Linked DNA regions of Notamacropus eugenii. The protein of the gene in region 2 purifies or fractionates together with the protein of the main gene of each other region. This does not show direct contact. Links are inferred from orthologs where the notes say so. Each region holds a gene or a part of one and is shown on either strand. Other genes may lie near its edges.

The links. Proteins that work in one complex are often made in the same cells at the same time.
Region 1: the proteins of GJA1 (region 2) and UBQLN4 purify together in Homo sapiens (affinity purification with western blotting; 3 studies listed by BioGRID). This does not show direct contact. The link is inferred for Notamacropus eugenii from reciprocal best matches to the Homo sapiens genes GJA1 and UBQLN4.

The regions. Positions count from the first base shown.
Region 1 is NC_092873.1:380,138,090-380,145,347, reverse strand, and holds the start of UBQLN4 (ubiquilin-4), read left to right. Parts: upstream 1-4,251; 5' UTR 4,252-4,269; coding exon 4,270-4,443; intron 4,444-5,417; coding exon 5,418-5,569; intron 5,570-7,258. Other genes in the region: ragulator complex protein LAMTOR2, read right to left, coding at 319-375, 656-745, 1,771-1,933, 2,501-2,568. UniProt on the Homo sapiens protein: Regulator of protein degradation that mediates the proteasomal targeting of misfolded, mislocalized or accumulated proteins.
Region 2 is NC_092873.1:203,954,007-203,961,751, forward strand, and holds the start of GJA1 (gap junction alpha-1 protein), read left to right. Parts: upstream 1-4,646; 5' UTR 4,647-4,790; exon of another isoform or gene 4,791-4,965; intron 4,966-5,666; exon of another isoform or gene 5,667-5,860; intron 5,861-7,745. UniProt on the Homo sapiens protein: Gap junction protein that acts as a regulator of bladder capacity. A gap junction consists of a cluster of closely packed pairs of transmembrane channels, the connexons, through which materials of low MW diffuse from one cell to a neighboring cell.

The DNA.
Region 1 (7,258 bases), about 180 Mb from region 2:
CTCTCAAGGCAGCCCATTTTACTTTTGGCCTGCTCTAATTGTTTTTCCTGACCTATGCAAGCCTAAATCTGCCTCTGAAACTTTCATTCACTTCCCGATGGGGCCAAAGGGAACAAATCTAATCCTCTAGTACCTCCCCCACTAAACGTGACCATTAAGAAAGAATCTAAGACATAAGACAGGTGTTAAATAGTTTATTCAATGAGATTGGAAAACTTCCCTTCAGACCTCAGGAAAGGTTTACTGGGGACCCTGCCCCCATCAAAAGATGAGCCCTCCACCCTCATCCCCACTCTCAAGTCGATTATCCCCCGATTGCTATGACGCTGCCACTTGAGTGAGGGGATCCTCCAGGTACTGAACCAGGGCCTGGGCCTGTAAGAAGGTTAGTTCAATTTAGCCATGAAAAGAATACCTGATGGAGTCAAGGACTGGGACATCCAGACTCCCAGTTCCACTCCCTCCCTCCCCATCAGCATCAGCTTTTAAACCTCATACACTTTTTCCCAGGAAATAAGACTGAGATGTCTGAGCTCCTCATTTCTACCTATTCTAGAGAAAGCTTGGGAATAGGGAAGAGGACTCCGAACTAGCAAGATGAGGGCATGAAGAACATGAGACATTTTTTAAAAAAGGAGATGGGATAAGGGATCACCTTGGCCTTCAGCATTCCAAAGCCCACAGTCTCTTTGGCGTACATACACAGCAACAGGTTTGCCACCCGAGTGATTGCTACCCGGCCCTCCTGCAGGGGTAGAAAATGTGATATATGACTGCTAATTGGCCCCAGCTGTCCCCACCATTATGGTTCCTAGAATCCATTTTTTGGAATAATGTAATATTTGTGTGATTTTAGGTAAACTCCTTGGCCCCCAATTTTCTTAGGGAGTTGGAATAAAAAACCTCTGAGGAGTCTTCCAGCTCTAAATTTGGGATTCTATGATCTTTTTTAGGCTTACATACTATCATATAGCCTCATGTATTGTTCTCAGTTTAATGTAATTCTCAGAGAAACTATAAGCTGTCAGGGCAAAGACTCAGGCACATGAAATGGTTTCTTTGTATGAGGTAAAAAATTAAAGTACCAGGTTCAGATCCTTGCTTTCAGGTCTACTTGAGACTGTACCCTAAAATTGTTGTTGGGGTCCCACCCCCATGATGCACTTGGGAGTTTCTGTCTCCTCCTCCCTCCAATCATCCAGCATCTGCTCCAAGTCTATCCACTGATTAAAGTAATCAGAGTACAATGGAAACAACACTGAATTTGAAGTCGGAGGACCAAAGATCCAGAAGATTGCAAACTCTTGGAGAATAGGGATTGTTTTGTCCTTGTTACCCCTAGTTCTTAACACAGGGTCTGAGGCTTAGTGATTGTCAAATTGAATTGAATTTCAAAGTGCAAGCTGCCTTGAAGGTCAATGAGTCCAAACTTCCCATTTTACAGATAAGGAAACCGAGGCCCTGAGAGGTTGTGACTTGCCTGAGAATAACAGACATTTAAATAATATAGACAGTACTTAAACCCAGGTTCTCTAAATCTAAATCCAGCACTCATTCCATTATTAACATAGTCTAATCTGCACTTTTGCTATGTTTGTGACCTGGGCATATCACTTAGCTCTCAGTTTTTTCATCCATAAAACAGAAGGGGATTGGATAATAGGCTCTCTGTGTTCCCTTCCAGCCCTAAATCATTGACCCCAAAGAGTCATCCACTAAGGGAATCTAGTTTAAATCCCTCCACTCCAGGAGCTCCACTCCCCTTCATACCATGCAGTCCATAAGGATGAATTTGAGATTGTCTTCGTTAAAGGCTTGGTTCCCATTCCGGTCGTAGGCAGCCCAGATGTTACTGGCGATGGCAGCAGTGACCCTAGCATCGGTGTCCCCATAACCAGAGTAGGCCAGCAGGGAGCCCTCATTATTCAGCAACCTGGGGAGGGGGGATATAGTTAAAATGACTGGCTGGAGTCCTATGAATGTGTTCCGGGGTGAGAAGCCTGAGTTCCCTCTCCTAGATTTCGCTTTCCCCAGGGGTTGGGGCCCCAAGCTAAAAGCTATCAGCCTCCCCCCGCGACACACACACACTTTCTGAAAACCACTGCCCTCTTCTTCCCCCTTCCTTCCCTTCCCCCCTGCCCAAATCTTTCTTCTTCCCTCAGTCCCGCCACCCATTCCTCATCCAGGTTTCATTTCCCTAATAGCTCAAATTCCAGGAAAGCAAAGCTTGTTTCATTTTTGTCCATGAACCCCCCAAACCCCTGCACGGGGGCTGCCATCCAGTAGGGACGCCTTAACAAATGCTGGCTGACGGACCGATGGATTGATTGATAGCGTGCCCCTTTTCCTACACCTCCGTGTTCCTGGGGTCTCTTCCTCCCTTCCTGGGGTATGCAGAGCTCCCACTCCCGGGCCGGACTACAGGCTTGTTCCAATCCCAGCTAGGATGCACTGCATCCTGCCCCTTCTCCCCAGGGCACCCCCTACCCCCAACACTTACAGTGTGCTCTGGACGCCTCCGGTGTTGGCTTGACTTAGCACCTGGGTCAGGGCCTTGGGGCGAAGCATGACGACCGCTCCGAGTCCCCGCAACCCGGTCTACGTCCTGGATCCCTAGGGTCTTCCCCTGGCTCGCACTAGGTCGGACGCTTCCCGTAGCCCCGGCCGGTTCCCCCGGGGCTCACTGGGAATTGTAGTCTCCACCGGTAATGATCATTGCAGGCCTCCGTGGTAGGGCACCCTGGAAATTGTAGTTCTTTCTCAGCCCGAGAGGCATCTTGGGGGCCGTAGTCCAACATGCGAGGAGTAAAGACTCACCGAGGACATTTAAGCCGTCCCGGGAGCCTGGAGTAGTGTGGTCCGCACGTAATGAGTCATTTATTTAATTTTTGTGTGTGTGCGCAAATCTTTGCGCTTTGCAAGGTACTTTCATATAAATCAACAAGCATTTATTAAGCATGTAGCAGGCACTGTGCTAAACCTAAATTGCCCTTAATAATCATGTGGGGTAGGAAGGTTAAGTATTATTAATCTCCATTTTATATAAATGGGGATAAAAAGTCGTGACTTGCCCAAGGTCACACAGCTAGCTCCTACTTGAGCTGTTGTTTCCCTGTCTAGTGCTCTTTTCACTCCAGCATACTACTTTTGTTTTTATTTAAGAGAGGAGGTTAGAAGAAGAGGGAATTTAGCATAAAGCATCAGATGTTAGATTCCAATCAACCAGCAAACATTTATTAAGCTAAAAATACCCAGGTTCAAGTTCTGCCCCTGCCACACAATGACTGGGTAAATCTGAGCAAGTCATTTAACCTCCTTTCTGCAGACAACTAAGGGGATAAATTGCAGAGAAGGTGCTGGCCTGCACTGGTAAAAGGAATGTCCCCACCCAGGAGTTCCCTGCACCAAAGAAATCACAGCCTTATTCCTATCAAGCACAAAATCTTCTAGGTTCTAGTGACTGGGAGACACTTTACACAGGATTACAAAAGATCGAGGCTATTTGATTCTGAAGGGGAAGGAAGACTCCTAACTAGGGGAGGAGAAATGACCCTCAGAGGAAAGCTAAATGTCATCAGAAGGAGAGAAGTTTATAAGGTCAAGAAACAGAAGAGGAGTAGCTGTGGCACTGACCATTTTCTTATTTCTCAGGGCTGAAACCTTTCTTGTGTGTTGTCTCCCCATTAGAACCCGGTCTCCTGTAGATCAGGGACTGTCTTACTTCTCTTCTTCCCCAGGACATAACAGTACGTCAGTCAATAAATATTCAGCACCTACTGGGTGCCAGATACAGGGTTGTGCATAGATTAAATGCTTAATAATTTTTTTCATCCACCCATTTACACAGTAAACATCTGAGGCTGAATTCGAACCCAGGTCTTCTTGATTCCTTTTTGTCCTGTGAGACAAGAGACCTTTCCAATCCAGTGACCATCAGGACCCTTTAAAGTCAATGACCGTCCCGTCCAGTGAACTTTCTCCCTCCTAGACACATTGTCCCCGGTGCTGCCGTGACTCCCCCAGTCCGCTGGGGGCGCTGTAACCGCCGAGAGCTAGAGAAGGAAGAGAAGCGGAGACTCGCGGGGCGGGGCGGGCGCGGCTGCGGCGGCGGCGGAGGCGGCGGCGGCGGCAGGGGGGGGGGAGGGACGGAGGGCGGGCAGGAGAAGGCTGGGGTGGGGGGGGAGGGCTGGGGACGCCGTGGCCGGGCCGGGCCGGGCGGGGAGGAGGAGCCGGGGCCGGGCTGGCGGGCGGGCGGACGGCGGCGGCGGCATGGCGGAGCCGAACGGGGCCGGAGCCGGGGCCGGGGCCGGGACCGGGACCGGGACAGGGGCCGCGTCCGGAACCGGTGCCGAGCCGGGGCCAGGGCCCCCGATCCGGGTCACCGTCAAGACCCCCAAGGACAAGGAGGAGATCGTGATCTGCGATCGCGCCTCGGTGAAGGAGGTATGGACGCCGCTGGCCGTTCGGCGGGCCGCGGAGGCGGGAGGAGCGGCGCGCTGGGGGCCGGGCCGGGCCGGGCGCGGGCGTGCAGGGAGGGACGGAGGGGGCGGGGAGGGACGGCCGGGGGGAGGGGAGAGGAAGGAGGGGGCCTCTGGCACATGGTGGGGAGGGGAGGGAAAGGGGAGGCTCGTCCATCCCTGGAAGCAGACGGGAGGTGGGGGGCGAAGAGAGGTTGCAGGAGTGGGGTCAGGGGGCTGTCTGACCCACGAGGGTCCGGGCAGGCTAGAAAGTGAGGAGGCGGCGTACCCCCAGTCCCAGTCCTGGAGCTCGGAAGGGCCAGAAGCTGGCCCTAAGGGATGAGAGGAGAAAGCCCCCCATGCCCCAAATGCCCCATTCAGGGAAATGCCCTTTTCCTTTAAGACCCTGCTTGCCCCCACAGAGTGCTGGTTGTAGGCTGCCTTGGTCCTGATCCCCTCCTTTACTGCCTTAGCCTAGAATGAGTTTAAAGATAACGGCACCCCCAAGTTTAAAGGTGGAGAGTAAGAGAAAACTGAAGGGGGAGATCCAAGTGAGGAAAGAAAGGTTAGATAGTAGCAAGGAGTTGATTTTTTTTTGGGAGAGGGTGATACTGTGTTATGGACAAAAGAGTCAGAGAAACTGACTTGGTTAGAATTTAAACTCCTCAGTTTACTTTGGATAAGCCGGTCCACCCCCTCAGTTAGCTCATCTCTTGGGGTTGGCCTAAGTGGTCTGTAAGGTCCCTCTCAGCTCCAAATCCTGTGATCAAGGGAGGACTAGAGCCCCTGTGGTCTTCATCTCAGTAGAGTATGCAGCAGGACACAGAGGTGCTAGATTGGAGGAAAGATTTCTGATGACTGGAAATTGGAGCAAGGATTCTGAAGAAGAGTCTGAGCTGTTGGACAGTCTTTCTGTGAGGCAGGCCACACTGACCCTGGACCTTTGACCTGATATCACAGTTCAAAGAGGAGATCTCCCGGAGGTTTAAAGCCCAGCAAGACCAGCTTGTCCTGATCTTCGCTGGCAAGATTCTCAAAGATGGAGACACGTTAAATCAACATGGGATCAAGGATGGGCTCACTGTCCATTTGGTGATCAAGACCCCGCAGAAGTAAGTTTGGGATAACCAATAGGAGCTGCCCTTTGAATGGTCCTTGAAAGGCTACTGCTTTCTTACTCATCCTAACCCAATGGAAATCGTTTAGAGGTCTGAGAAGGAGATGCTATAGTCTTGATTGCGAGTTTGGGCTTTTTAAGTGTATAAAATTTAACTTAACATCCTCCTAGTATAATGTTACTTCCCTAGAAAAAATGGAGGCTAGTGTCTTACCCTTTTAAAAATCCTTGCTGAGAAGTTCAGTCCTTTATTAGTTTTCCATTTTCTTAAAGAAATAATTCTTTTGGAAAAAATTTTATTGATGACTTTTCTTTGAATGCCATGTGACTTTTCAGTCATTCTGTCTTCCTCTATTCTACAAAATAGTACTCTTCTCTTGTAGGAAAGAAAAACTGTAGTAAAGCAAAACAAACCATCATATTGACTGTTTCAGCCAGGTACCTCATTCTGCATTTGTAGTCCTTCATTGTTCTGTCAAGCAGAGGAAAGTGGTTTTGGCCATTTTCAGTTTTCTGACGTTGAGATTGGTCACTGCCTGGATCAAGTAACAATGGCTAGCATTTATACAGCACTTTAAGTTTTATAAGCCATTTTACCTCATTTGATCTTCAGCACTGGGAGTGCTCTTGCCCACTGTAGTCCCTAGCAGCCTAATGTTCTGATGGCTTTCATTGTTTTCCTTTACTTTAGTATGATCTTTCAGTAAATGATCATAATCAATTTCTAGTTCTGCTCATTTTACTCTGCATCAGTTCATTCAAGTCTTTCCAAGTTTCCCTGAACTCTTCTTATTTGTCATTTCTTATGGCACAATAAGATTCCATGGCATTCATGGTACAATTGAAAAGAGCCTTGGGTTTAGAGTCAGAACATTGGCTCAAACCCTGCCCAACACTTGCAACCTCTTTGACCTTGGACAAATCTCTTAACCTCACCAGGCCTTAGTTTCCTTGTCTGTAAAATGAAAGATGGACTCCTAGCTTCTTTATTTCCAGTTTCTTGCTATCTCAGAAAGTATTGTTATAAATATTTTTGTGTATGTGGACCCTTTCCCTTTGTCCTTGACATCCTTAGGATATGTCAATAAATCAGTCGCTAAGTCAATAAACGTTTACTAAGCACCTACTATATGCCTGGCCCTGTGTTAAAAGGGAAAGTCCCTGCCCTCTAGGAGCTTCCAATCTAATGTGGGAAGATTATATACAAAAGGCAGGTAAAGGGGGGAGGGGTAGTACCTGACTTGGGGGCATGGTGGAGAAGTCAGAAAAGTTCCAGAGGAGTGAGATCAGGTGAGAAATGAGATGTTCTGAGCCCAGCTCCCTGCTTAAATAGAGTTTTGAAAGTTCATGGCACCACCTTTCAATCAGAAGGGCAGAGGGTAGTAAAGAAGTGAAGTCCTAGGGCTGAAAAGACCTTTCAGGATGGTGAGATTTTCCCAATAATGAGCTTCTTTGACCCTGGTGGAGAAGTCACAGATGTCCCAGAGTAGTACTCAGGTGCGAAATAAGGAGGCCCAATACTGGTATTACTGGGGGTGAGTGTGTGGGCGTGTAGTTCAGCCCGGTTCCAAATTGTTTTCTAGAACACTTAGATCGGTTCATAGCTCTACCAACAGTATGAATGTGCTCATCTTCCCTCATATCAGCTAACATTTACCCTTTACCATGTAGTCATCTTTACCTG
Region 2 (7,745 bases):
GTTCATAACTGTTGAAAAGAGTTGCAGCAGATGGGAAGTGATGGGAATGCCTTTAATTGGAGAATGAAGTAGGGGTAGCTAACATCCACCTCACCTTTGGTTACAGGGGACTTTCTCAGATTAAATTGTGTCATTACTTTTCAAGCTGGCTTTGCCAGACTTGTATTCTTTCCACTAAATTGAGCTTGGAAAATTTGCTTGGAGTGTATTTTAATGTTAGAGGAGACATCACTGTACCGAAGTACCATTATTTGATCTTCTGGCTTATTTTCCCCCACTCTTTTCATATTATTTGTCTGCATTGGATTTAAAAATAAGGCAATGCAGAAATCTGACTCTATCAGTGAAGATTAGCTTATCAATATGGTATAAACCAAAGAGGGAAAATCAGTGGAACCAGTCCCCAAGCTAAGACACTACTTCTCACAACAATGTGTATTGGTATATTTCATTCTGAAACTGTAATTTGCTCTTCTACAGTAATTTGCTGTATATTTTTCAAGCTAAGTATTAAAACCAAGTAACAGAATTTTTTAAAGCTGAAAGATTGACCCCAGCAGATCAGAAAGACTGCCTTACTTAGGGCAGGAACTCATGACTCCTGTTTCCTTGCTTCTTTCTGAGGAAGGTTAACTCTGGAAAAAACCTCCTGAATGTTTTGGCCCTGTCCAATTCTTTTTCCTTCAAAAACATATTTATTTGGTAGCTTTTGTTTATACATCAGCTTTGTTTTTGTATGTGTTCCATCCTCCTACACTAACAACAAATTGTCTATCCCTTGTCCTAGTGGGAGAAAGAAAAACAGGTCAGTAAAACTAACAACGTATCAACCCAATCTGATAGTAGCATATTCAATGTTGCATATTTTGAAAGAGAGAGGGAGAGCGAGATGCATTTTCTTTTCTCCTGTCCAAACTTGGTTGTTAAAATTACATAGTATTAAGATTTACTTGAGCTAATTGTGTTCTTTCCATTTACATTGTTATATTGTCATATACACATATATGTACACATATATGTTCTGCCTACTTTACTCTGTATCAGTTTATTTAAGGTTTTTTTTTCAGGTTTCTTCGAACTCTTCATATTCATTTATTAAGGTGCAGTAATATTCAATTGCATTCACATACCACAGTTTGCTTAGCTATTTCCCTAAATAACGGCACTGTTCATTTCTTCTGCCCAACTAATCTAATCTCCAGATCACTTATCTGGGTTAACACTATTTAACCAGCAAGAAATCATTCAATATACTACAACAACTATTGTTAATTAAACAACATGAGTTAATTCTGAGAGTAACCTATGTCATTTAATGAACTTTTTGTTTTTCCAAGCTTCATTGAAGCATTCTACTTTTCAATTCATATTTTCAGGATGTACTAAAAAAAAATCTGTTCTGTTTAATTCATGCCCATATTCTACCTTGTTATTGAAGAATGATTCAGGATGTACTAAAAAAAAAATCTGTCCTGTTTAATTCATGCCCGTATTCTACCTTGTTATTGAAGAATCATTGCGTCACTTGACAATTGGGCAAAAGTCATTTAAGAGAACATGTGAGTCCAAAAAAGCAGGGACATATATTTTGGATTAACTGTTCAAATCTTAATCTAAATGTTTCCATAAATCTTTCCAACTGAAAAAATATCCAAATTGTAGTAGAATAATTCTTTCCAAATGAAAAGAAATCCAAATTGTAGTAGAATAATTCTTAAAAATGGAATCAATTATAAAAATTTTAAAATAATTACATTATGTAGGTACAATTTAGAGAAACAAAATATCAGTAGAGGAGAACAATCCAAATTTTATAATTTCAACTTGGATAGATCTTTTCTGTTGAGTTATTGTTGTTCTAATAGGACAGTTTATAGGAAAGGAGCTGATTTTTGGTATTATCAGCAACAGTGCACAAATTTTCATCCAGTTATTCTAAGTAAGGACAGAGAGGAATACCTATAAACTTCTCATCTCATAAGAGATTGTTGGCAAACCATTTCAGAGCAAAGAAAGGAAATCAGGTAGATTTAATAATGCAGACTAATTTAGGATCCTATATTTAGAACTTATAGGTGTTTTGGAAGTTCTTACTCCCTCATTTTATATATAAGGAAACTAAGGATCAAAGAAGTTAAGAGACTTGCACATAGTCACACAACTAGTGTCAAAGGCAGCATAGAGCTGAGCTCAGGTCTTCCTGACTCCAGGTTCAACTTTCTATCTCTCTCATTGAATCCCATGAATTGGGGTCTAGTCTTTGACTTAGACCACCAGCTTATGAAATTCTCATTAAGAATCCACATCAGTTTGACTTGAGTTCTATTTCTCTTTGTTCATAAAGATAACAGGTCAAAAATGTATCAAGTTATTTATAAGTGGACTAGATCCTTAAATATAGATCCATCTATTTGTAATGATGACAATCTTGTTTTCATGGTATTGCTACTGACTAGTTAGTCACAATATCTCCTTTGCCACAACTAATTTGAAATGCAACTTTGGAATCTATGAGATGGTGAATTCTCATAATAATTCTATCTAATGGAATGCAGAAAATCTGATTATTAACCAAACTGGATAAAGAAAAATCCAACTGTTAAAAAAGAAATAGTGAGGCACTTCTTATAATGAATCATTTCCATATTAAAGTCTTTTGAATCCTGGGACAGTTATCTTCCCACAGTTTTGCCTTTTGTTCCTAAAAATGAGTAAAACATTTCCTTAAAAAATGGCTAGATAAATGTAAAATAAACGACAATAATAATGTTTATGAATTTCTAAGGATCGATCATTGAAAGCTGTACTACAGTTTCATGCATATAATAGCTTTCCTTCTTAGTTACAGGGAAAACAAGTTTAATTATGACTTTCAATGAAGCAAGGGAAAAGGGATGGGCTATATTAGGATAAATATAGCAGATTGTATCTAATGGTAAAGGAGTTGAAATGTTTAGGACCTGAAGAGTTACACTGGATTTGATACAAAGACTGTATATAGTTAGTCATTATGGGAGTTGTACTTTGAAAGTTTAACTAGGACAGAGCTCCATGAAGAACTGAATAGTTAGGTGGTATTTAAACTAGTTTTAAAACAACAACAATGGAGAACCTTTTTAAATTTAAACAACTGGTTAATCTGAAGAGTGATCAATTGTTTAACCAGTTTGACTAAATGTAGCTGGGTTACCTTCAAACCAATTTGTGTTTGCAGACCATAAAATGTTCTTTTACTCACTCAAATGTGTTGTCTTTCATAGTGTTGTATGACTCCTTAAGAAGAGCACAATTAGAATGAGGATAAACTAATGTCTTAACAGAAAAGGCTTCATAAGTTCCACAAGATATTTATGAGTCTATTCAGTGAAAGTAAAGTCATTCGCATCTTTGGAGAAAGGTTACTTCTTTCAAAATATTTGTCTCATTTCTTTCTGGTGGGAGACTTCAAAAATGAAGATGAAAGTCTATAGCACTAGATGAGCTCACCTTGCTAAGAGAAAATGGGCCCAAGGAGTGTCGTGAGCACTATCTCCCACCTATCCTATCCAGGTAGCATGGTGCAAACATATTTGTGGGGAGCTGTCCAACCACAGAGCCCTGCTGGGGCAGCTGAGAAGCCCACAAAGGGAACTGCTCACACCAGGAGTGAGAGCATCCAACAAAATAACTCTGTATGACTCAGGTAATTATAAAGACTGATGCAGAGTCTTGAATAGTTAGTGCCATGAAAACACTAAAGCGACTCATGAAAATTATGTGCAACGCTCAACAGTCATTGGGCAAAAGGTTCTTCTGTGATTTTTAGAGAGGGAGTTGGTCTCAAGGAGGGTCTAATGGGTATGGATGAGAGCCAAAGCTAACTTGACCTTAACCCAACTGGCAACATTAGCACTACAAGCCTGTATTCAGTAAAATAACCTAATATTTTTTCTTGCTAAACGCTGTTTCATTAAATATCTTGCATTAATCTGGGCATTGTTTCATTAAAGGGTTCTGAGATTATATTATAGTAACTACAGCTCCCTCATAGAAACTTGAGCAGATAAGGATTTCACAGTCAGCTGAATTTCGAAAAGCTAACTAAATAAACACACCTTGGCTTTTTGGTTAGCTTCTGAAGGAAATGGCAAAAATCCAGGATGGGCAGAGGGGGGGAAAAGTTAAGACAGATGTGTTTATTTTGGAAACTTCAGGGTGTCCCCCACTTGCCTGTTATTTGTCACTATCCAAGAGAAGAAAAGTGTTGAATAAAAAGAAGTTACTCTCGTCACCTTTAGCTTTCCCATTACTTAGTCTAAGGAATTCTGTCTCCATTAAAAAAATTTGGCATCTATTAATCGTTGCGTATCTACCTACCTACCTGTCTATTTAATCTGTCGACATATTTCACAATCAATCGCCTGTGTTCTAGGAAAAGGCTGTATTTTTTATTTTTTTTAATATAGTAGCTATTGTCTTACTTTCTAGAGCTTCTGGTTAAAAGGGACACCCATCAACGACGATGCTGAGACTCATAGTTCAGAGGAACGAGTCTAACCGTACTTTTCTTTTGCTCCCACTTTTAGTGGCGGGACCCTTTTCAAGTTCCTCTGTTTCTTACCCGTTCGCTTTACCCTCGCCTCTCCGCCCCCCTCTCCTCCCACAGTTTGCTGTTCCAGGCTCCTCTTTGGCCGCTCCTCCCCTTTCGCCCGTCCCCTTTCTGATGCTAACCCCTCCTTGAAGTTTAGTCAGTGGCTTGAAAACTTTTAAAAAGCTCTCTGTGCTCCAAGTTACAAAAAGGCTTTTACGAGGTATCAGCACTTTTCTTTCATTAGAGGGAAGGAGGGAGGAAAGGACAAAACGGCAGCAGACTTTTAAACTTTAAATAGACAGGTCTGAGTGCCTGAACTGGCTTTTCCATTTTATTTCAGCCTCCAAAGAGTTCAATCATTTGCTCGGGCTCCATCACTCCTTTTAAGCAAAAGAGTAAGTTCTAAAGAAAAAACTTTACCTATTATCTTCTTTCTCTTTAAGTAAAACTTTTCTAAAGTTTGTAAGTGCTTGAAAATTTCGTATTTAAGTAAAGAACTGCAAATAATATGGTGAATGGAATGGACTTTGTTTTGTTTTGTTTTTTAAATTAAGACTTTCGAATATCCTAGCTTTCTTTTGAGAGTTTAAAAAGTTTTGTCAGTTAATGCTGCAACAGGTAAAATGTCCAGAACCCTCTGCTTGGAAGCTGGAAAGTCGAAACTGATTTTGGGGGGGTTTCTAGAATATACATATATGTATACATATACGTAATAACACAGTGCCGTTCTATAAAGTGTAATTTTACTTTGATTCTTAAAATAATTTAGGTGTGTTGCAGTTGGAGGGAAATGTGGGAGGGAGGGTGCGCACTGACAGCATCTTCAAAATTAGAGCTTTGCCTTGCCTGCTTTCTATCTGTTTTCTTCACGGTGTACTTTAATATGGAAATCTTGATTGCTTTATAATAGCCTGTACCGAGTTAACTTCTTAATTAGGCGCATTGTTAAGATATTGCTAACCCTGATCCGGTGACTTGCACGTGGTCTCTCCCTGAAATTATCTGCTTTTCTAAAAACCGGATGGAAAGACCCCAGACGGATACATGAAATGTGGAAATTAAAAGAAAAAAAAGTAACTGAATAAGTTTACTCTGTGTTTCCAACTCCTACTAGAACTCTCCTGTTGAGGGAAGGTTTGAAGAGAAAGCCTCCTGTGCTTCCCACCACGTTGGCAATTTGTGGGAACTGAGGTATTTTCAGTGGCTGGTGGGTGTTTTACTGATTATCTCAACAACTGGAAGGACCATCTCCTTGTGCCAATCAGTAATATCCATAAGTTGTCTCCAGAGCTAGGGAAAAGAATAGGAAAAGTGTGATTCTTAACCAGCATCTTACAAAGATGCCTTTTCTTAAACCTGAAGCAGATTCCAGGACTCTAGAGGGGTTTCCCCTTTGTTACTGTTGCCTGAGTTCTTGCCAGTAATCAAAGATTCAGCCAATGTTGTCAAAGGGGGTTCAGTTAGAAATATTTTCTTTTATTGAGATAACACATGTTCTGCTATTCAGAAATGCAAAAATGCACGTCTGTGCTCTGTGGATTTTCCCCTGATTTGCTTTAATCCCCAATCTAAAGCAATTACTTTAACTCCTTAAAGTAGGTTCTGCTATATGTAGTAAAAAGGTTGAAAAAAAAAGCATTTTCTCTAGGCAGCTTCCATGTTTGAAAAGGGAACATTAAACACAGAGTTGGAGAGAGAATGAAAAAGAAAACTCTTTGTGAGTAGTGACTTGTGTCTCAGACTCGTGTGTGGTGGAGATCAGATCAGAGGTAACATGAGCTCTGCCATCTTAACATCTGGACTGCTTAACATACTACAGAACTCCTGATGATCTGGATTTTGAAATGTTTACCAAGTTGTTGCCCTCCGAGTCTTCCAGAGTTAAAGTGCGCCTGCTGACCCAGGTCTACTCATAAAAAATGGGTGGTGGTTGGTATGCAAAGAACAAAGATTGAAATACTGGTAGAGAAGAATAGATTTGATCTTGTCACTCTCTGTCCTGATAGGCATAAGTAGAGCCCTTTATTCTCTCAAACATGCAGGACACAGAGATACCCTTATAGCTTTCAAAGTCAGACCATATTAGGTAGTGTGATAAAACATGCCTAATAACTTTTATCTTGAAGCAACTTTAAAACATTTTTAGGGCTTCTATGAACATCTCTGAGACTGAGTTGAGTGGGAGACATTGCCTTAATTTTTAAGTGAAGAAACTGAGGTATTACTGAGAGAAGGAGAAAATGTACTCTACCCAAGTCCAACCCTATCCTGGGATGATTAGATTGTACTACCTCCTTAGCTGTGGTTATTTAATTGAATATTGACTGATTTCATATTTGCCCAGCCCTGCGCTAGGTGAATTTTACAACCTTATCTTGCTTCAATTGTCTCTCTACCACCACATCTGTTGTATCTATATACACAGATATGTATTTTTCTTTGTTTCAACCCCAGGTTTTGGGGAAGTGAGGGTACAGAGTGATAGTAGGAGGCATTTATCTGTACCTTAGAAATTTTAGTATCAAACACAAGCTTCTGGTTTGGGAATGGATTGCATTTATTTTGAACCAAGTCTTTAATGATAGAAAAGATAAATATTGCATTATAAAACATATGAGTTGAGCTAATTTGTTATTTCCTTAATGCTTGAGATTGTTGAGGCAAAACTCCTATGTAATTGAGTATTCCCACTATCCTCCAAAACCACCTTTCATTTAACCACTCCCTGAAAAAGACAATAAAGACCACAGGATGAATTGAGCTAGAATGTATTAAAAATCATAGACTTAGACCTAGGAGGGATCTTAGAGTTTACTTAGTCCAAACTGTTTCATTTTGTAGGTGAAAAAACTGGGAGGGAGGCAAAGATGAAGTGACATGCCCTAAGTCACAGGGAGTGTGAATGACTGAACAAGGATTTGAACTGGGGCCTTCCAAGACTTTTTTTCAGATAGGACACACTTAGAAGCTAAGAAGAAATTACTAAGTTTAGCCTGAAGGGAGGATTATTTTCTTTAATCAATCAACTTTTTAAGCTTGTCATGGCGCATATTAGGCACTGTGCTAGGTGCTGGGAATACAAAAACAAAAGAGAGAGAGAGAGAGAGAGAGAGAGAGAGAGAGAGGGAGGGAGGGAGGGAGGGAGGGAGGGAGGGAGAGAGAGAGAGAGAGAGAG